6 linked regions of the Danio rerio genome follow. The protein of the gene in region 3 binds, or shares a complex with, the protein of the main gene of each other region. Links are inferred from orthologs where the notes say so. Each region holds a gene or a part of one and is shown on either strand. Other genes may lie near its edges. The genes, in order: ercc2, polr2f, gtf2e2, gtf2f1, gtf2a1 and gtf2e1.

Region 1 (4,288 bases), on a different chromosome or scaffold from region 3:
TTTGTTTGTTTTTATATTTGATGTTACTTATTAAGCTGCGTTTTACAGGGAAGGGAATTGGGATTTTGGCTCTGTAGTTATATCAGGAAGTTTGTCATAAAGGTTTAGAAAGTATAGTTTTATTCTGTTGAGGTGAATATTGTCAAAGAATGACCCAAAATGGATTTATACAAATATTTTAATATGTCTAAACTGTGGTCTTTACCCGGCCTATGAGTACGAAGGAAATCACTTCATGAAGATGAATCTTTGTTAGGGTGAAATACTGTATATTTTATTGCATTGTAATATATGATTTAAAAATGTTTATGTAAATAAAATATATTATATAAAATATGCCCCTGTATTAATAATGAAAAATGTTCTCATTTCTTTGGTTCTTTCTCTTTTTTCCCCTCATATGTATTAAAAAATGTCATTTTAGAAGGGGGGCTTAGTAGTAGTGGCTCAGTGGTTAGCATTGTCGCCTCACAGCAAGAAGGTCGCTGGTTCGAAGCACAGCTGGGTCAGTTGGCATTTCTGTGTGGAATTTGCATGTTCTTCTCTTGTTCGCGTGGGTTTCCTCCACAGCAAGGTTATTATAGTTTTGGATTTTTTATTGGTTTTAGTTTTTATTTTGTTTTGACTTTTTGTTTTCAAAATCAGTTTTAATTAGTTTTTAGAGGTAGATTTACTAGTTTTTATTAGTTTCCATATTTTATAGTTGCTTAGTTTTGTTTATTTATTTATTTATTTTTGCACATTGGGATATTTGCTATGTACAAGATTCAAAATCAATAAATATTGTACAAAATACAATAAATATTGTAAAATAAAAACTCAACAATAATTTTTTGAAACATGTTTTCACAGGACACATGACCACTATCATCTACCACTACCACCTACTCATCTTCAAATTCAAATACAACAGCCCACAAGATAGCCTTAAGTAAAATCGTGTGCATGGCTGCCTCTAAGGTTAGACACACAGTAGTGATGGGAAGTTCAGATCTTTAATTCATTCCGCTTTAGCAACCTCTGATGAATAAAGGGACTAAGCTGAAGGAAAATGAATGAATGTAAGTTAAGTGTACTCTACTTGCTTTTCTCTTTTCTGTTTGTTTTTATTTTTTTCTTGTTTGTTTACAATGCACTCTAATTGTACCTGCTTTTCGTTTTTCTTAGCTTTTTTCATTCTTTTTTCTTTGTTTATTTAAAATACAGTATAATTTAGTGTAATCTGTGATAGGCTATATTTTTAATTGATCAAATTTTACTTTTCATGAAAAAAATACTGTTGTTTGTTTTAAAAAATCAGTCATATTTGTAGTGAAGAAAATTACAACCTACACAATTTTAGCGAAAGTTTAGTGCGGACTTCTTTTCTATATATATATTTTTTGATTAACCCCAATGGTGACAAATGTACTTCCGTCAAGGGATTGACATGACGTGCGTGTCATCCAATGAGCTGACAGGATAAGGCGGGCTTTGAAGCGAACAACCAATCAATTAAGCAAAATAGATTACGCACTTTCACTGCGACAGCGTTTTACGCTACCGAGATCGCTTGTGTACCTCGATAGAAGTCTTTTTGTGTAATGCGTTCATGACAGTTATATTAATGTGTGGAAACATACAAAACTGAATACGAGAAACACTTAAGTGCTGCAGAGAAACAATACCAGCAAACATGAAGTAAGTAAACGGTAAATTTTAACTGTTAACGTTAGCATTGCTGCAAATCTGCAGACTGGTAATGGCCCAAACCGCTGTTCATTTAACACAAGTTTTGTTTTTCCTCTAACGTTAATGTCTATTTGATCCTATTAGGCTGAATATCGACGGGTTATTAGTCTACTTTCCGTATGACTACATCTATCCCGAACAATACTCGTATATGCTTGAGCTGAAGAGGACGCTGGATGCAAAGGTATTTATACACAGACACTCATACATTAAACTAATGTTGTATCATGTAACAACATAGACCATTTTCAGGGATGTAAACCAAAACAATGGTCTCAATGTATTTCATGTTTTCCATTTGTAATGTCCATACTTTCTGAGATTTTAAAAAGAGCCATATATTGTAAAATAATGTCATGATAGCGGTTTTAACATTAAATTATGATTTAATTGTCTCATGTTACAGTTATGAAATAGTTTGAAACAAGCAGAAAATGTTCATGGGCCAAAGATATCACCACATTGAAGTGATCTATATTAACATTGTGGCTGGATGTTTTGACATAGGCCAAAAGATGCATCTATAGTTGATACACAACTAATTTAAAGTGTATTTTTTGTTCCTTCTTACAGCGTTATTTTTACAATTGAGGTAAAGTTGGTTTTATATTAGCACATTCGTTCAGTGACATGCTCCCTTTATTGTTTACCATGGTAATTTGAATATTCAGAGTGAAATCCTATTAAAGTATGACTTCAAAACAACATTAGCTATATGTTTTTAGGCAGTGAACAATGTTGTACTTTGATAGTCATGGTAATAAGATTTCCCTATTTAGAGTTTGCTAAAATATTTTTCTAAAAATATGATATTAGGGAAAAAGACTGAATGTGTGGGTATAAAACCAACTTTACTGTTTTAATTGAGATAAAGTTGGTTTTATACTCACACATTTGTTCAGTGACATGCTCCCTTTTTGTTTACCATGGTACTTTGAATATTTGGTCTGCAATCCTAGGTAAGTATGACTTCAAAACAACATTAGCAATCTTTTTTTGTATAGTGAAATGTGGTCTTAAGGTTTGCTGGTTTAAGAGTTGGTTCAGGTAAAAAGTGTAATTATAAATGTACTTACAGAATTTAATTACAGATGTAATTACATGCAGATATTTAATCAAGCATAAGTACAATGTAAAATCATATATTTACTCATTAAGTAAAGTGTAACGAATGATTCAATTTCAGTGTAAGTTCATGTTAGTAAAGGCCACTTAATATAAAGTGGGACCGAAAAATTTTCTGAAAATATTTTTAGAGAGAAAGACTGAATGTGTGAATATAAAACCAGCTTTACTCTAATATTTTTATTGAGGTAAAGTTGGTTTTATATTCGCATAATCGTTCCGTGACATCCTCCCTTTATTTTTTACCATGGTACTTTGAATATTTGGTCTAAAATCCTATGTAAGTATGACTTCAAAACAATCTTTTTTGTACAGTGAACAGTGTTGTACTTTAAAAGTCATTGGATGCTATTATGGTTTCCCTATAAATATGAATTTGCAAAGAATATTTTTCTGAAATGTATATTATTAGGGAGAAAGACCAAATGTGTGGATTTATAGGTTATCATGATGCTACTGCCCTAATTTAATTGCCCCTGGTGGGAATAATAAAGTTCACCACATCATTTTTAGTCTGATTATGAATGCATTTTTTGTAATCTCGCATTATCTGAGATGTTGGATGGGATGTTTATGTTAAACAGAGCCATGACTGAGTGAAAGTAAAAAGCAATAAAAAACAAAAAAAAATTGTTTGTCTTATGTATAGTTGTTTCATATTTTGTTTTTATTATGTGTGTAAAGGGTCATGGAGTTCTGGAGATGCCCTCAGGAACAGGAAAAACTATTTCTCTTCTTTCGCTCATCGTTGCTTACCAGAAGGTGACGGATTTTGATCGACGATTAAATATTTGAATACTTTATTAAATGACAGTCTGATGGCTTTAAAAATATCCCTGATTTATATATATAATTATATATATATATATATATATATATATATATATATATATATATATATATATATATATATATATATATATATATATATATATAATGTTTAATCTCTTACAGACTTACCCTTTAGAAGTCACCAAGCTCGTGTACTGCTCTCGCACGGTGCCTGAGATAGAGAAGGTATTTTGTTGACTGACTTGATATAGATGTTTATTACCTTTTATACATTTTTTTTTGCTTTCTAAATACACATGTCGTATGTTAATTTTTATTTTATGCATCTTTCATTTACCTGCAGGTTGTGGAGGAGCTAAGGAAACTGATGGATTATTACTCAAAGCAAACGGGAGTAAAAAACGACTTCCTCGCCCTTGCACTTTCCTCGAGGAAAAACCTGTGCATTCATCCTGAGGTAGAGGCCGCTGAATGGGCAGATTTGTCTGTGATTTCAGTAAAATCTGTGCTGTGATCTTATTAAAAAGTACTGAATGTGTGACTACAGGTGAGCTCTCTGCGTTTTGGAAAAGAAGTAGATGGAAAATGTCACAGTCTGACAGCATCGTATATTCGAGCGCAGCATCAGAGTAACCCAAAT
Region 2 (3,775 bases), on a different chromosome or scaffold from region 3:
GTTTACACTAGTACGTTTTAGTTTGAAAATACATACATTTTGCTATGGTTACGCCATCCGTCCACACTACACTGGAGTTTTAGAGCCCTAAAAATGGAGCGTTTTGGAAACGCTGACGATGCCATTTTCATTTTAATACACTGCTGCTCTGTCTCAGTTTGGATGAGGGAAAATGGAGACATCTGAAAGCAAAGACAGGGCTGCAGACATTCGCCTTTCTGATTGGGGCTTTTCCTCAGTATTAAGTAGCCTAAACACAGTTCAGTCCTGCATCCTCTCCTTGTAAGTTCAGATTTTACAAGTTTAATACGAAAAACAGACTCCCGAGGACACGTCAGGCAAATCTTCAAAATTCCTCAGAGATTTTGCTCCATATTGTCATGATAGCATCACACAGTTGCTGCAGATTTGTCGGCTGCACATCCATGATGCCAATCTCCCGTTCCACCACATCCCAAAGCTGCTCTATTGGATTGAGCTCTGGTGACTGTGGAGGCCATTTGAGTACAGTGAACTCATCGTCATGTTCAAGAAACCAGTCTGAGATGATTGAGCTTTATGACATGCTGCGTTATCCTGCTGAAAGTAGCCATCAGAAGATGGAGACACTGTGCTCATAAAGGGATGGACATGGTCAGCAGCAATTCTCAGGTAGGCTGTGGCGTTGATGCTCAATTGGTACTAATGGACCCAAAGAAAATCTCCCCCACACCATTACACCACCACCACCAGCCTGAACCGCTGATACAAGGCAGGATGATCCATGCTTTCATGTTGTTGAGGCCAAATTCTGCCCCGAGCATCCGAATGTGTCAACAGGAATGGAGACTCATCAGAGCAGGCAACGTTTCTCCAATCTTCTATTGTCCAGTTTTACTCGCTTTGACCTGGAGCAGATCGTCTTGACCATTTTTACTCTACATGCCTGAATCCATTGAATTGCTGCCATGTGATTGGCTGATTAGAAATTTGTGTGAACGAGCAGTTGGACAGGTGTACCTAACAAAGTGGTCAGGGAGTATTTTGCATCACTAAAACTGATTGAGCTCATGTCCATGTGTTGTGCAATCAGTGGATTTATTGATTATTGTGACAGGCCTGATTGCAATGCTATTTTAATTTTTTTCCCACTTGACAACCAGCAATTAATTCTGTCAAATGCAGTCAGTCTTTTACTCTTATATGCTCAACACAGCATCTTTCTGTCTACAGGACAATTGTTTTTCTGTACATCATGGTAATTCAGCTTTACAGTCTGTAAAAGTCAGATTTTAATATTTGGCTTTAGAGGAAACCCTGTTGGACCTAATTTTAATGATCTAGTGCTTTACACAAATAGTTTTCAGTCTGCTTTATATTTAATCTGTTCATGTTCAACTTATTCATGATGATTTTATTGCTCTGTAATTTCATTCGAGCTGGATGATACAGTGATTCACATTTTGAGATGATTTAATGGTCATGTTTAGTGTTAGCAAATAATGCTGCGTTACTCATCCGTGACATCACCTTCTGTGTGACAGGATGTGTGCGCCGGTGATGGTGGAGCTGGAGGGAGAGACGGATCCACTGCAAATCGCAATGAAAGAGCTCAAGTAAGATGAAACACATCAGAAAGACTCAACCTTTATGACTATTACAACCTGTAATTATGACAGATTCTCCATTGGTTAATATGATTTATTGTAGTATATTAGTAATATATGTATTACTATTTTAAACTGACTATCATTTGTTTTGAAGGCAGGTTATTGTATAATGATGGTTTGTTCTGGAGACTATCGAAAAAATATAGCTTAAGGGGCTAATAATATTGAAAAAAAATGGTGTTTAAAAAATTAAAAAACTGCTTTTATTCTAGCCAAAATAAAACAAATAAGACTTTCTCCAGAAGAACAAATATTATCAGACACACTGTGAACATTTCCTGAATCTGTTCAACATAATTTGGGAAATATTTAAAAAATATATATATAATAATAATAATTATTCAAATATGGCCTAATAATTCTGACTTCAACTGTATGTTGGCGTTTTAAACTATAACTAAGTCATTCATTCATGTAGATCCAGATATTGTAAAGAGTGCAAACTATAATGTAATGTAATATTATTTATATAAAAATGTTTTCATTTGCATAATCTTATTTACTTTTTTTCATTATCTTATTGTTTGCACAGATGTTTTTGGCAGGCATTCATATTTGACACTGTCCTACAACATAAAATGACAATATACATTTATATTTATAAAACATAAAGACATATAACCCCATTTCATTATTCATAAATGTATCATAAATAAATTACATGAAATTAAACCCGTAAATAAATAAAAGACACTTTACAAATTATAATTTTGACACCAGACATGATTAAATTGTCTATACTAGATGTTGAATTGGACATTGTAGGTTGACTCATTCACATTTACTGAATATTGAAGCACCACCTAAATGTAATTACTGCCAGGCTGCTCTTATAATAAAACATCAGATTAAATGCTAAATACCGTTATACAATATTTTGATAAGGGGAGTACTTTGATGGACATTTTTAAAAAGGTACCACCTGAAAGAATATTAAATTATTTATTAAAAATTTAACTGAAAAATCCTATTTAACTTTGAGTATATTTTTGTGTGAATTTTATTTATTTATATTTTATATATTTGTCTCAGTAACTTTTTATTGTAATAGGAATTTGTTTTTATCATGTAATGTTTTTATGTGTATCCATTTTGCCATGAAATGGCCAAAAGTTGCTGACGTGGAAATAAATAAATAATAAATAAATGTACTATATTTTAATATATGTAAAATAATAATGAGATGTCCTGTTTGAGATAACTGCATTATACACACCTTATTCATTAGATGAACACAAAAACATGCATTTCTGAAAACATTTATTTGTGTGTTTTAATCATATTTGTGTTTTTCAGGAGCAGGAAAATCCCCATTATCATCCGCCGGTATCTGCCTGACGGGAGTTATGAGGACTGGGGCTGTGATGAACTCATCATTACTGACTGAGACACACACACAGACATGCACACACGTCATGATCTACATCTGATCTGTGTGATTTCAGCACTGGGTTACAGTGTGCAGGTGTCTTTATGTTCAGCAGTTGTTGTGTTTGTCCACAGGAGGGCAGTAGGAACACACTGAAACACCAGAGAAAAGAGGAAGATTTCACTCACAATGTCATAATTTAATGTTCATTTTTGTTTTTATTGTTGTGCAGAATTAAACATTTTTGTAGAAAAGAATACTCTGTGCTCTTGTGTTTCTGTGACATTATTACTGGATCCATGTTGAATGCCAAGCATTTTACTTTGTACTAACAATTGGTTGCAAACCTGGTCAGTTTAATGTCAGTTTTATTAAAATAATTAGATTTCAAAGAATAAATGTTTTTTATTTATGTGTAGTGCTTAATCAATGGTGAAGTTTAGGATTTTAAAAATATATATTTTACATTACACATACAGAATAGTATGCAGTATTTGTTTTTGTTTTTTTAGTCAGTGAGCTGGTTTTAAATTATACTTGATGCTGAAATAAAAATTAGCTTGTACTGTATCTGTGGCATATTGTTTTTAAAAATCGTTTCCAAATACCGTATTTCATCCTCCATTTTATTATAGCAGATGCACATTTTATATATTTTTAAAGAATTTATTAACTTGTATGATCATTGTACTACAAGTGTGTTATAGTTCATTTATTGTTATGATTTAATATGTGAAGAAAACTTCGCGCCATAAGT
Region 3 (4,161 bases):
TATATATTATATTTATAATGGCTAATAATTCTGACTTTAACTAATATAAAATGAACCCGTGGATATATATCCATGCTTTTATGCTAAACAACCAAAATTGATGCAATGAACAAACTTTTTTATGTCAGTTAAACTACCTGGGAATTGAACCCATGACACTGGAATTGCTTAAAATAAGCTTGTTAGATAAATTTATTTGATTGATTTTCATATATTATATTAATACATTATACTTTTAAAGAAACCAAAAGTTAATGTTATACATTTATGCGCTTCTTGATATAATTACATATTCAATTTTAGTTTTTAAAGAGTTAAATTGTTGGAATGTGCTAGTTGCAGGAATAATGTGCTGACAAAAAGTTGAGTATATGATCAATTGAATTCTACCAAACAGATTGTTTTTTTTTTTTTTTTACAAGAATGAAAGACAATGATTCATCATCTGTTTGTATGCCTGTATAAAAACTGGCCCTGTAAGACTGCTCTCTGAGCAACCAGGATGGAACCTGTATTTCTTCTGTATTAGTCCCTTGCTGCAAGAACATCTAGGAAAATGAATCTTCCTGAGCCTTGTAATAATTTTTGACCCTGACAAGCTTGACTGTCATCGGAAATAATTTCCTTCTTACCTGGTTGGCTTGCTCAGTGAAGGACTCAGTCATTTTAACTGTAACATTGGCATTGGCTTCTTCATTGGCACTGAGATCAATAGAGGCAACCCACTGAAAACCACAAACACAAACATGTTCCTTATTGACATATTACAGGCCAGAAGAAATGCATGAATCGATATAGTTAATGAGAAACACATAACATTGTTTTGAGTAAATTAATTATTAATAGTACTACTAAAACACGTGAAGCGTGTCTGATGACACTGAAAGGGGGGGAAATAGTTATTTTCAATAATGTGTCTTGTCTTCTGGGTTTATACAACTTACCCAGTGTTTAGCTTTGAAATACTGCACACATGCCGAGCCCAGAGCTCCTTTTCCCCCGTAAACAATCACTTTCTGTGCATCTGTAGCTGCCATTCTGTCTTCACGAGCACGAGACCGTGTTATGCAAAGAAATCAGAACATGCGCCTCCTACTGGAAAAGATGAGAAGAGCACACATAATTGTATTAGGATGGGTTGCGTATGGGTATAAGCTTAAAATAGACTTACCTTTTTTTAAAAATAATGTTTTTCGAGATTAATGTTTGAAAATAATCCATTAATGCTAATAAATATAAATGGGAACATCGCAACACATGTAAAACGATTTCTGACCAGCAGGTGGCAAAGGTCGTCTTTGCAAACTGCGCGACTACAAACAAAGAAGAAGAACACTTGTCTTCCGGAGGAAATACATGTAGTTGTATAGCATAGCTAGCGTTCTATGACAAGCTTTTCATTTTGCTTTGTCAGTAAGCTGATTGCGTATGATAATTGGAAATAATATTTAACATTCCTCAAAACTCTTTCTCTCGGAGAGAGAAGGCAGTGACAGATTCAGGTAACGTAATGCTCACAGTTTCTTTCTTTGTGGATGTATTGCTTCATGTTTGATGTGTTTAGGATGTTTCCAGTTGATACCATTTGTGATTTTAGACGATTAGTTAAGTTTCTAGGTGTTAGATGTTCACTGTGCAGTTCACTATGGAAGTATTAGCTGTCAATAAGTAGGCTTATAAATCTCAGTATGTTAGACGAGGCTAAACCTCCAACTGACCTCATAGATCTCAACATGAGCAATGTGCTTTAATATCTAAGTTAAATATGAGGAATAAAATTAACATCTGTCTATATGTGTGTCTATAAATGAAACACCAAATGTCCTTAAAATCTTTGAAAAGTGTTACATTTATTAGTGGAGACTGAATTAATAGCAGCCCCTGTTATCTAAACATACATGGGGGGAAAACTGATCACATAATCATTTACTGTAATCTATAGAAGTTAATAATAGTAATGATTAAGAAATATAAGGAACATATCACGTGCTATAGAGGTAAAGTCGGTTTTTTATTCGCACATTCGGACTTCCTCCTTAATATAATTTCATAAAAGTACTATTTGCAAACTCTAAATAGCGAAATCATATTAGCAGCCAATGATTATCAAAGTACATGTTCACAGTCAAATAAACAGTGTTCAAGTTTTCAAATTACACTTGCAGTTTATTTCAGACTGAATATTCAAGGTGCCGTGGTAAACAATGTAGGGAGTGTGTCACAAATTGCCACTGAATGAATGTGTAAATATAAAACCAAGTTTACCTTAATATATATGCTGTGGCTATATAATATGTTCATTTAAAAGTTATTGTTTAATTGAGCACTCATTCGTGGTTTTGTTTTCTTAGGTTTCATCAGTGGTGGAAAGACTACTGAAAAAATATACTCAAGTAAAAGTATCATTACTTGACCAAAGAAATGTAGTGCAAGTAGAGTAAAAATATCTGTTGTAAATATTAAATATGAGTAAAAAGTAGTCCTTTTAAATGTCCTCAAGAGTAGTGAGTATTACGCTGTTAAAAGCTGATGTATTTACCGGTACATGTAATTTGTAAATGTGTGTGTGTGTGTGTGTGAGAAAACATAACATTCTGTAGTGCATTTAGTGACAGTTTAACCAGTTAAATTCCATGGAAAGTGGTTTTGTTTGAAAGTGTAGAAGCTATATTTTATGCACATATGCATCACTTTGGTTTTTATTCTACTGTAAAAAAGTTATTTACACTTAATATCATCTCAAAAACATAGCAAGAATCAGATGCTTTGTTTCTAGTGAAGACTTAGAGAAACTTGTTCATGCTTTTATCAGCAGCAGGGTGGATTACTGTAATGGACTCCTCACTGGTCTTCCTAAAAAGACAGTCAGACAGTTGCAGCTCATCCAGAACGCTGCAGCCAGAATTCTAACCAGAACCAGGAAATCAGAGCACATCACACCTGTCCTCAGGTCTCTACACTGGCTGCCAGTTACATTCAGAATAGAGTTTAAAGTATTATTACTGGTCTATAAATCACTAAATGGCCTAGGACCTAAATACATCACAGATATGCTCACTGAATACAAACCTAACAGATCACTCAGATCATTAGGATCATATAAACTAGAAGTTCCAAGAGTTCAGTCAAAGCAGGGTGAATCGGCTTTTAGCCACTATGCCCCTCGCTGCTGGAATCAGCTTCCAGAAATGATCAGATGTGCTCCAACATTAGGCACATTCAAATCAAGACTGAAAACACATCTGTTTAGCTGTGCCTTTACTGAATGAGCACTGTGCTGCGTCCGACAGATTGCACTGTCGGACACAGATCATGTTTTTCTCTTCTTCTTCATTCTTTTATATCACATTTTACCTGTTTTTATGTTTTTTAATCAGTTTTATTATTTGTTTTTATTTTTATTTTTATTTTACTTGTTTCTTTTATTCTTGTTTATGTAAAGCACTTTGAATTGCCATTGTGTATGAAATGTGCTATATAAATAAACTTGCCTTGCCTTAAACATTGGTTCAATTTCATATTTTTCACAAGATTCATATATGACACAGGTACAAGTTATAGCTCAAATTAAATCTCTTGTCCGTGCTCATGAGGTTATAGCGTTCTTTTTAGTGAATTATATTCACATCAAACAGTTTTCGAATAAATCGCGGTATTTCCATGGCCCAGAAGTGAAAACAATACATTCATGATCAATAAGCAGCTCCAGATAGCACAGACAGCGGTCATCTCTTACCTTATGCTTTTTAGGGCCTTTCTCCTCTGTTTTTGAGGTGATGTGCATAAGTAATCCTTTTATATGTCCGACGTGGTCCAAACACAGTGAATTATGTTTGATCAAACAGAAGAATAGAGAAATATGAATACAATGATCGATCCCTGTGGCTTGTATAGCACCTCTCATCAGTTGGAATACAATAACTTTTTCATAGATTATGGTAAAGAGAGACATTTTTCTTTTTTTCCATGATTACAGACATGTGCAGGAACCACCAAAATTAATTTACTGCAACCTAGACCACACAGAACCTAAAAGGTACACTTTCAAATTTGAGTTTATAAAAAAAATACAAAAAGCAAATTTTTTTTTTTTTTTAGGTGTTTATTATAACACAGAAAACATTTATTACAGTTATTTTAAACACTTTTAAAGTGTTTCCT
Region 4 (2,233 bases), on a different chromosome or scaffold from region 3:
GAGAACTAAATAAAATTTCTGTTATCATAGAATATGAAGTAATTTTACCTCTAAAACACTACTACTTTAAATCAACAGGGATGATGCACGATTTAAATTCACCCATGAAATCTTAAAAGATGAAGAGTCCTTTTTCTCTGGACAGAAGGTTCCACGTCATCGCCGCATCTCTGTGATATGCCGAAACCTGCCCATGTAAAACAACTGAGGCTGGACTGATCATAGCACCTGTCTTGAAAACCAAATAGACCTCTGTTGATTCAATTTTCAGTCTGATGTATTTTTCCTTGAATAACCACAAAAAAGAGACTATTTGGGGGGAACTAAAGCCTCTGGAGAATTTATGAAGGGAATAGATCAGATTCATGTAATTTATCATATAAATGGAGTATGAAAAAAGATGAGACCAGTCAACTGCTTCTATGTACAATGTCAATTTTTGTATCCATTATTAACTTTCCTCTCAAATAATAAATCATTATTGCATAGAGAGCATCAAATTTCAAATAAAAACAAATAGGTATTTATTTCAGAACAGATTTAACATACTACGAAGGGCAAGCGCCAGCAAAATGTGGTACCTTTTACAGTTTTTTTTTTTAAAATCAGCACAATGTTAAGCCAGTTAAAAAAAAAATCTATGAGAACAAATGAGTGTGTAATAAAAGCCACATCTTCACATTTTCTGAGTCCTTATTTAATTTCTTTCTTGGAAAAACATTAACCAGCTTCTCATTAAGATGCATAAATGTGAAATTTACAAACACACATTTCCCATATCTACAATATACAAAAACTCACTGTGCTATCTTTCTTTGCAACGTTTCTTTGTCATTTTACTCTTGACCTCCGGTATTCTCAGCTTTAACTCAATGAGCAGCAGTTTAATGACTACTGTAAATAAACACTGGACTGTTAAAAGCAAAATGACAGCAAAACAAAGAAGGTGTTCACCAAAATGAGCTGCATTCCTGAAGGCGAGGCTGCTGGTGATGGATGCTCAGAGTTTCACTCAGTGAGGTAGAAGTGCATCTTGTCATTGATGTTCTTCCTCTCTGGATTGAGCCTCTTTAAGATCTGCGCGAGCACATTGACCGTCTGCTCGCTGCTGAGGCCTGTGCGTTTAGTCTGGAACTTCTTCAGCAGGTCTTTAGTGGTCATGGGCTTTCTGATGAGATACCTGCGCACCGCATCCTCTGTCAGCAGCACATCACTAAAGGGGAGAGAGAAAAGGATTTTATTTACAATATTGAAATAATCAAGAGTTAAAATGGTCAGTAACTCTGGCAGTGCTTTTGAAAATTTGAAAGGAAAAAGTTGGTGTAATGTGTTGCTACATTAAGTAGGTCTAATACACAGTGACATACTGTTAAAGACTTGATATAATTGAAGCTAAGTATTTCATTCTTTGCTTTTTCCATTCAGCAATATACTCAGCAAAACATTTCCAACATTGCTGGGAGTAGCAATTGGATGTGTAAATATAGTCATAGCAATGTAACTCTGACCCTCCAATCAGCTCACATTTATTTAGTCCCTTACAAAAGTTATTGGTTAAACGGAAGCAGCTTTACAGTGCTGACTGTGAAATAAATGTGTCAGTAACTATGTTTCCATCCACTTTTTTTTTTTATTTATACGCATATCCAACATGCACATAAAATAAAAAACGTAAAAAACGCCAAAAATAAAAAACGCCAAGATAAGAAGTTAAAGAGTTAAATAAAAATAACTTTTTATTCGATAAGAAAAAATGCGTATAAAGACTTTCACTAAACAAATTTTAGTATGCGCATTAAAAAAAGTCATTGATTTTGATTATGTGATGATAAAAGATGTGTGTGAGTCGACAAACCAGCAGGCTTAGCACACTGTAAAACATGAAATGTTATTTTGGTCAGTCTGAAACACCCTAACCAATTCAGTATTAGTGTTATTATATTACCTCCAGAACTGCTAAGAGTGTCTGTGCTGTGCGTTAACTGCGTGTCAGCATCATCTTCTGAGGCACAAGTCATTTATTTAATTAAGTAAAAGATTCACACAGCTTCTCATACCTCAGGAAATTAAGTTCCTTTTACTTTTGATATTTGACGCCAGTTAATTAGGAAGTGACAATTTTGATTTGTTTGACTTGTTGGATGGAAACTTTGCTTTATGCACAAAACTAGAATATCGCATAAAAGGTGTGCGAATAAAGTTAATTCACATTTTTGGAAGGAAACATAGCTAG
Region 5 (3,500 bases), on a different chromosome or scaffold from region 3:
AGACTACGCAAGATAAAACAAGTACGGAGGGACTAAAACAAACCCTAGGGTAACTCCACAATGCACAGAACCACATGCGGAAATCCTCCTCAGGGCCAAAAAGGAGCACTTCTTTCATTAAGAGCACAGTTCGGTGTCTTTTCCCCCCCGAAATATGAACGCTGCCTGAGCTTCGGGAATAAATACGAACGACTAGAAATGCGTAAAATAAGCCTGACTGGGAGGAAAGTAGGAAGGGCGGCCTGATGGAGCACTTCATAGACACCAAACGCAGAAGATTGCACACAAAACACACCAAAGCACCCTGTGATGCATCAACTCCCAAAAACATGCATCAGACTGACAGAGCAGAGTTAGAAAAACCCATGACAGACATAAACACGCAAACAGCTTTGTGAGATCGACAACTTGCGCTCAACTTGCCTGCTTTCATTGGTATCTCTTTTGCTGAACATACAAAGGTCTAAAAACATGGCATCTATTAATGGGAATTGTTGGAACGCAGCTCTTGCTGGATTGTTTTAGTGTTTGTATGAGGCGACCAATAGTGATTCGCTTTACACAGGATTCAGATTTACGGAAATCACCAAACACGTACGATTGCTGTGAAAAGGCTGTTGACAAATCTGTTTACTTAAGATGGCGTCTGACGCTAAAATCGGCTCCCTGCGCCTAACATTTTCATCTGAGGGGGCGTAGATGTTTTTGGAAAGGAGATATTATGGACTGAGTTTTTTTTTTTTTTTTACAGGTAAAAGAGTAGTCTTTTTAAAAAAGAAGGGGAAAAGAAAAAGAAATCTCATGGATGGCACAAGTTATTTGTGTGCAGAAATCACTCAAACAGCACAGTAGCATTGGGACGTTACTCTTCAGCACCCCAAGTGGGGAATCTCCTGAAATGTACAGTTTCAGGTCTCGATGTGTCTTGCCTTAAAAAGTAGGCAGTTTTTGGGTTTTTTGTTCTCTTGTCTTTCCCGCTTTTTACCACTCGGCGTCTCCGATGGCTTTGGAGAACACAAAATCCCGTCCGTTCAGATTCATGATGCCATCCTTCAGGTGAAATTTCCACTTGTTCTTACTTCTGTGAATCTGAAGCATAGATTAAGAAAAACAAAAATAAATTTCAGGGACTTTTGGACAGTGATTTCAACCCTTTCATGCGTATGATCACACCGGTGTGACTGCTAAAATTTAAATCTGATGGCGGGTGCTATAGCACTGGAAAAGGAGCGCAGCACTAATTATAAATCACAATTTACCTGTGCTTTCAAACAAATAACATTTCTTTTAGGTTTCAGACATTCAAATACACATAATTACAAGCAAAACAAACCAAGTAAAGTTTGTAAAATAGACGTGGATGTCTATGAAGACGGCAATAATAATTATATTTCAATATAACTGGACGATGTGCTTTATTCACCTAAGATACAAACTGTTTACATTACTAGAATATTTTCTTGGCAGAAAATTATTAATAAACATGACAAATCCAGCAGCGATCGGAAGTTAACGAGAAGTGTTAATATTATTTATCAAATCACACAATGTATTAATTGTATTTTATTAGCGTCTACCCCTCTCAACCCTAGACCCAAACCTCAAAGTTTGTAAAGTTAATGTAAAATAGTATTTGTTGTACAGTGTCAAAATTAAGCTATATTGAAACAAGTTTACACAGCTGAATCCCATCTAGACTTCACCCTCTCCTGCAGCATGGTGAAGTCTAGATGGGATACAGCAGAGGATACTCAATATAGCATAATCTAATAAAATACAATTGTATTAGATTACGCTATATTGATGAGTATACTCAGCTGTATCCCATCTAGCTAATAAACTGCACTCAATGCGGAATTTAATAAATATAAATACTTCTCGTTAACGTCCGATCGCAGCAGTATCCTTTCTAGCAACAACAGCAGCACCATTCTATCTCATATTTGACAATCGGAGGATCAGAAATTTGTCAATATTTACAGAAAAGGGCAAAAAGACTTTTCACTGTGCAATGACTAATCTTGCTAATAAAATCATGCAATCCAAAAGTTTGTCAATTGAACATTTTCAATAATGTAATATGCCATAGTGTTGACAGCGATAATTCACTCAAAAAAAAAAAAAAAAAAACTTAACTCACTTTAAAGTGGCTCTACACCTTTCGAGTTTCTTGTGTTGAACACAAAAGATGACATTGAAGAAAGCTGAAAACCTATAACCATTGACCATAAAAAAAAAAAAAACATAGAAATCAAGGGTTACAGGTTTCCAGCTTTTTTTAAACGATCCTCTGTTTTTAACAGAAAAATGAAAGTCAAAGAGATTTAAAACATGTTAAACAGGTCCTGAAAATGGAAAATCTTCCCCTGCTCTGCACGTTTCCTAATGCTGGTTTTCTGTGTGCGCAATCTGTCACTTACACAGAAACTCACATGCTCAGCAGACCCACTGAGACGCGCCTTTTCCGTCAAAATGCATCCGACCATAGTTTAAGTCTCGTAAAATGTCCAGGATTCAGGTTTTACTTTCGCATTTTAAAGTTGTCATTATTTGTATGCGTTTTTGCATTACCATTTCGCAGCTGAATGAATGTGCGCGCACAGCCGCGAGAGAAACATTAAATGATTATTCACATAATAAATGTCTCAGATAAACTTTATACTCGGAGAGAACAAAATGCCATCTATAATGGCTGCAAAATATTTGTACACCACTAGAAATGGTTAATCAAGTAATTTGCCTTATTTAAATAATCTACACTTTTTATTCTAGTAGTTATTATAATTTTTTGCAATAATGTCTATTTTATTTATTTAAATTAATTTCTCATTTGCTGCATGTTTTATTAATTTAATAACTTTAACCCACTGAAAAGAAAAGGTGTATGACAGTGTCATTCTAAATAAAAATCAAGGTAAAAAGCACATTATTTTTTGTTTGTCACATGATGTTGACCATTTATGTGCTGTGGGGAAAAGGGTTTTTTCCAATCAGGCTACCACTGCAAGTATATTTTAAACCTGTGGGAAGCCCTGCACAGAGCTGATCTTACGAGGAAATGTAACTATTTCACATTTTGTAAGTTTAGTTCTGTATAAGTTCAGTCGTATGAAAATGTACTATTTGTAAAAGGAGGCCCCCCCCAGGGGTCCGGCACACTTGAAAACTGATCTAAAATGAGTTTGACACCCCTGCTTTAAGGACTTAGGGTTATAATTTCTATATAAACATATATGCCAAATATTTGATAGATTTTCTAATAGTTTTTGCACTTAAATTAATTAATGTAAGAATATAAATGTGTGCAAGCTATCAAAACAGATTAAAGATATGTGATAAGCAAACACTCACTTTGTCATACTGGCAAACCACTACGTTCTCTGTGTCGAAGAGCTCCTGATCTTCCTCATCACTGACATCATCACCACTGTTTAACGGCTCCTGAAATAAAGACAGATTATTTAAAGACAAATTATGACTGGACTAAACCAGATGAGTTC
Region 6 (2,331 bases), on a different chromosome or scaffold from region 3:
TAATCATACAAACAATGCACGCAACGGCTCACACACACTAAAAAGCCTACATAAACACAATCATAATGACACCACAAACATGTGCAACAGTCTAACAAACATATAATTTTATTATTATTTAATATTAACCTTACCTAATGAGACCGGTGGGCGGAATGTAACAAGCAAAAGTAACAGCATATGTCATTAATCTAATGTAAAAACCCTCAGGGTTGCAATCCAATGAAAAAAAATGGAAATTCTTTTTATTTTTGTATTTTGTATTTGTATTTTTAATGTAACTTTATTATCTTCTGTAAGTTATGGATTAACAATGGTAATTTTAAAAGTTTAATCAAATTTGTTAGACTTTTGGAAACCACCAAGCGACCCCAACTTTGCCAATCACTGCCTTAAAACATGCCCAGTTTTCCAAAATAAGAGTACCACATAGATTAGAAATATAATAAACTGTGTTATACTTAAAAAAATAAGGGGTGATAAATGATAATTTCTTAATATTGATCCCGTGTGAATCTACAAATGAGCAAACAAATGTAACATTATTGATTCTTGTGTTCATCATCAGTAGCTGGTCTGAAAGTTTTGAGACTTTGGAAAGATTTGAGAATTGGACTTGGAGCGAAGGGAAGATTGTCTTTTGAAAAGCTCTGAAATTACAGCCTGTTTCTTACCCAAAGCTATAGCAGAGCTTCAGAAAGGAATTGGATTTAGAAAGTGTAGCAAAAATTGGAATTCTACAAACAAAGAAGCATCTGAAATTGTCGTCATTTTTCTTCCAATTTTTTTCTCACACCAGCTGGCGAGGACTCTGTAGTAACCCAGGAGGGAATTACTGGAAGGGGAGCCGCGCAGGATGAGAATGAGGAGGTGATGCTGGCTCTCCTCATTCACGAGAAGAGGAGTGGAGCTGGTCCAGGAGGTTCCGCCGTCTCCAGACCAACTGTTCCAGCCGCAAACGCCAGTGACTCTGACAGCGATACGAGCGAGTCGGACGAAGACTCTCCACCACAGGCTCCAGCCCACACGTTGCACAGCACTACATCCATGCGGCCAGGAAAACAAGACGAGGAGGACGAGGATGATGACGATGAGTTTGAAGAGGTCGGAGATGACCCTGTGGTTATGGTAGGAGGAAGACCCTTCTCTTACAGGGAAGTAAGCCAGAGGCCAGAGCTGGTGGAACAGATGAGCGCTCAGGAGAAAGAGGCGTATATTGAGATGGGCCAAAACCTCTTCCAGGACATGTACTTCTAAGTTCATCATGCTGGCTAGCTTCTCGTTCTGTCTGTATCTCACTTTTTTCCCCACAGGATACAAGGATACAATCTGTTTCCTTTGCACACTTCATATCTAATGGTGTTGTGCGGTGTGCCAGAGTTGAGAAATGTAGTGTTTTACCAGTTAACTCTTGTTCTTTCTCACTCCCCTGCCATATTCCCATACAAAACTACTCCGGTGCCAATGATACCGCAGTATCACGGTTGTAAACAAGAGTATCATACATTGGCAAACACTCACATTGCTAGCTTTCCAGTTTGTTTGCCGTTTTGTCAGATTCGGAGACTTCCATTTATATAACAGTGTTGCCGCAGTAACCTCTGAGACGGTTTAACCTCCTTTAAACCAAGGATTTTCTGACACGAATGACTTTTGAATGACAGAAAGTGACAAACTGTGGTATTTGCTCAAAGCTACCTACCAAGGCGTTTTCTCATCTTCTTGCTTTCATGTTATTTTTAATGGCTCTTTTTCCTCAGCAGTATTTAGCAAGACTCGCAGTTTGAAAGGAAAGACAAACGATCTTCATGCGGCTGGCTTCCTTAACGCGATATTGAATGAGATTTAATGAGAGATGTTTGTTTAAAGTGTGATTGCTTTCCTTTCACAGCAGAAATGAGCACTTTTTTCTCTGATCTCTGCCTCAGTGGACATTATTCACTTCAATTTGTTTGTCCTTAAGTAGAAAAAAGGATGTTTTTTCAGTTTGTTAGACCATTTACTGTAATAAAAAGCTGAGTGTGAAAACTGACAGTGTTCATAAATATATGTTTGTGAAAGATGAATATTAGTTTCATAAACTGTTATTTCACACAAATGTATTCACAGAATGGTTTATTTTGTCTAGGATGGAAAAACAGGTTGCTTTCGCAGTGACCGTGTCCAAAAAAATGTTTGAATTGACCTCTCATGGTGTGATCATGTAATTGAATTGGGAACAGAGTCTCTGGGGATGTGCTTTGGTGCAGCTGCGGATGAGATGATGCTTGGATGAGACTGTGCGGGAGATCAAATCTGTGGTGCGTTGACGTGCAGCCAAAGAGAAAAGCG

The links.
Region 1: gtf2e2 (region 3) and ercc2 share a complex: the UniProt entries of both Homo sapiens proteins name them as parts of the TBP-based Pol II pre-initiation complex. The link is inferred for Danio rerio from reciprocal best matches to the Homo sapiens genes GTF2E2 and ERCC2.
Region 2: gtf2e2 (region 3) and polr2f share a complex: the UniProt entries of both Homo sapiens proteins name them as parts of the TBP-based Pol II pre-initiation complex. The link is inferred for Danio rerio from reciprocal best matches to the Homo sapiens genes GTF2E2 and POLR2F.
Region 4: gtf2e2 (region 3) and gtf2f1 share a complex: the UniProt entries of both Homo sapiens proteins name them as parts of the TBP-based Pol II pre-initiation complex. The link is inferred for Danio rerio from reciprocal best matches to the Homo sapiens genes GTF2E2 and GTF2F1.
Region 5: gtf2e2 (region 3) and gtf2a1 share a complex: the UniProt entries of both Homo sapiens proteins name them as parts of the TBP-based Pol II pre-initiation complex. The link is inferred for Danio rerio from reciprocal best matches to the Homo sapiens genes GTF2E2 and GTF2A1.
Region 6: the proteins of gtf2e2 (region 3) and gtf2e1 are in contact, whole or in part, in a crystal structure (PDB 5GPY), measured with the Homo sapiens proteins. The link is inferred for Danio rerio from reciprocal best matches to the Homo sapiens genes GTF2E2 and GTF2E1. Residues at the interface, in NP_002086.1 of Homo sapiens: Asp159, Gln160, Arg161, Gly162, Leu163, Gly164, Gly165, Leu167, Leu190, Val192, Asn193, Arg194, Pro195, Ile200, Phe202, Cys208, Gln209, Phe210, Ser211, Val212, Asp213, Glu215, Phe216, Gln217, Leu219, Trp220, Arg221, Val223, Thr224, Val225; in NP_005504.2 of Homo sapiens: Arg16, Lys19, Tyr20, Val21, Arg23, Gly24, Phe25, Tyr26, Ile28, Glu29, Leu32, Arg39, Leu51, Leu52, Lys53, Phe54, Asp55, Gln58, Gly68, Asp69, Lys70, Phe71, Lys73, Thr98, Asn101, Val102, Val103, Lys104, Tyr105, Lys106.

Annotation. Positions count from the first base shown.
Region 1 is NC_133190.1:26,156,361-26,160,648, reverse strand, and holds the start of ercc2 (general transcription and DNA repair factor IIH helicase subunit XPD), read left to right. Parts: upstream 1-1,488; 5' UTR 1,489-1,675; coding exon 1,676-1,680; intron 1,681-1,815; coding exon 1,816-1,915; intron 1,916-3,540; coding exon 3,541-3,618; intron 3,619-3,810; coding exon 3,811-3,873; intron 3,874-3,991; coding exon 3,992-4,105; intron 4,106-4,195; coding exon 4,196-4,288. UniProt on the Homo sapiens protein: ATP-dependent 5'-3' DNA helicase. Component of the general transcription and DNA repair factor IIH (TFIIH) core complex, not absolutely essential for minimal transcription in vitro.
Region 2 is NC_133178.1:1,274,214-1,277,988, reverse strand, and holds the end of polr2f (DNA-directed RNA polymerases I, II, and III subunit RPABC2), read left to right. Parts: intron 1-1,523; coding exon 1,524-1,595; intron 1,596-2,945; coding exon 2,946-3,036; 3' UTR 3,037-3,275; downstream 3,276-3,775. UniProt on the Homo sapiens protein: DNA-dependent RNA polymerase catalyzes the transcription of DNA into RNA using the four ribonucleoside triphosphates as substrates.
Region 3 is NC_133176.1:24,433,625-24,437,785, forward strand, and holds the start of gtf2e2 (transcription initiation factor IIE subunit beta), read left to right. Parts: upstream 1-1,361; 5' UTR 1,362-1,502; intron 1,503-4,161. UniProt on the Homo sapiens protein: Recruits TFIIH to the initiation complex and stimulates the RNA polymerase II C-terminal domain kinase and DNA-dependent ATPase activities of TFIIH. Both TFIIH and TFIIE are required for promoter clearance by RNA polymerase.
Region 4 is NC_133178.1:32,749,405-32,751,637, forward strand, and holds the end of gtf2f1 (general transcription factor IIF subunit 1), read right to left. Parts: intron 1,214-2,233; coding exon 1,009-1,213; 3' UTR 501-1,008; downstream 1-500. Other genes in the region: alkbh7 (alpha-ketoglutarate-dependent dioxygenase alkB homolog 7, mitochondrial), read left to right, coding at 79-199. UniProt on the Homo sapiens protein: TFIIF is a general transcription initiation factor that binds to RNA polymerase II and helps to recruit it to the initiation complex in collaboration with TFIIB. It promotes transcription elongation.
Region 5 is NC_133195.1:17,659,255-17,662,754, forward strand, and holds part of gtf2a1 (transcription initiation factor IIA subunit 1), read right to left. Parts: intron 3,442-3,500; coding exon 3,352-3,441; intron 1,090-3,351; coding exon 982-1,089; 3' UTR 1-981. UniProt on the Homo sapiens protein: TFIIA is a component of the transcription machinery of RNA polymerase II and plays an important role in transcriptional activation. TFIIA in a complex with TBP mediates transcriptional activity.
Region 6 is NC_133184.1:29,364,376-29,366,706, reverse strand, and holds the end of gtf2e1 (general transcription factor IIE subunit 1), read left to right. Parts: intron 1-799; coding exon 800-1,257; 3' UTR 1,258-1,831; downstream 1,832-2,331.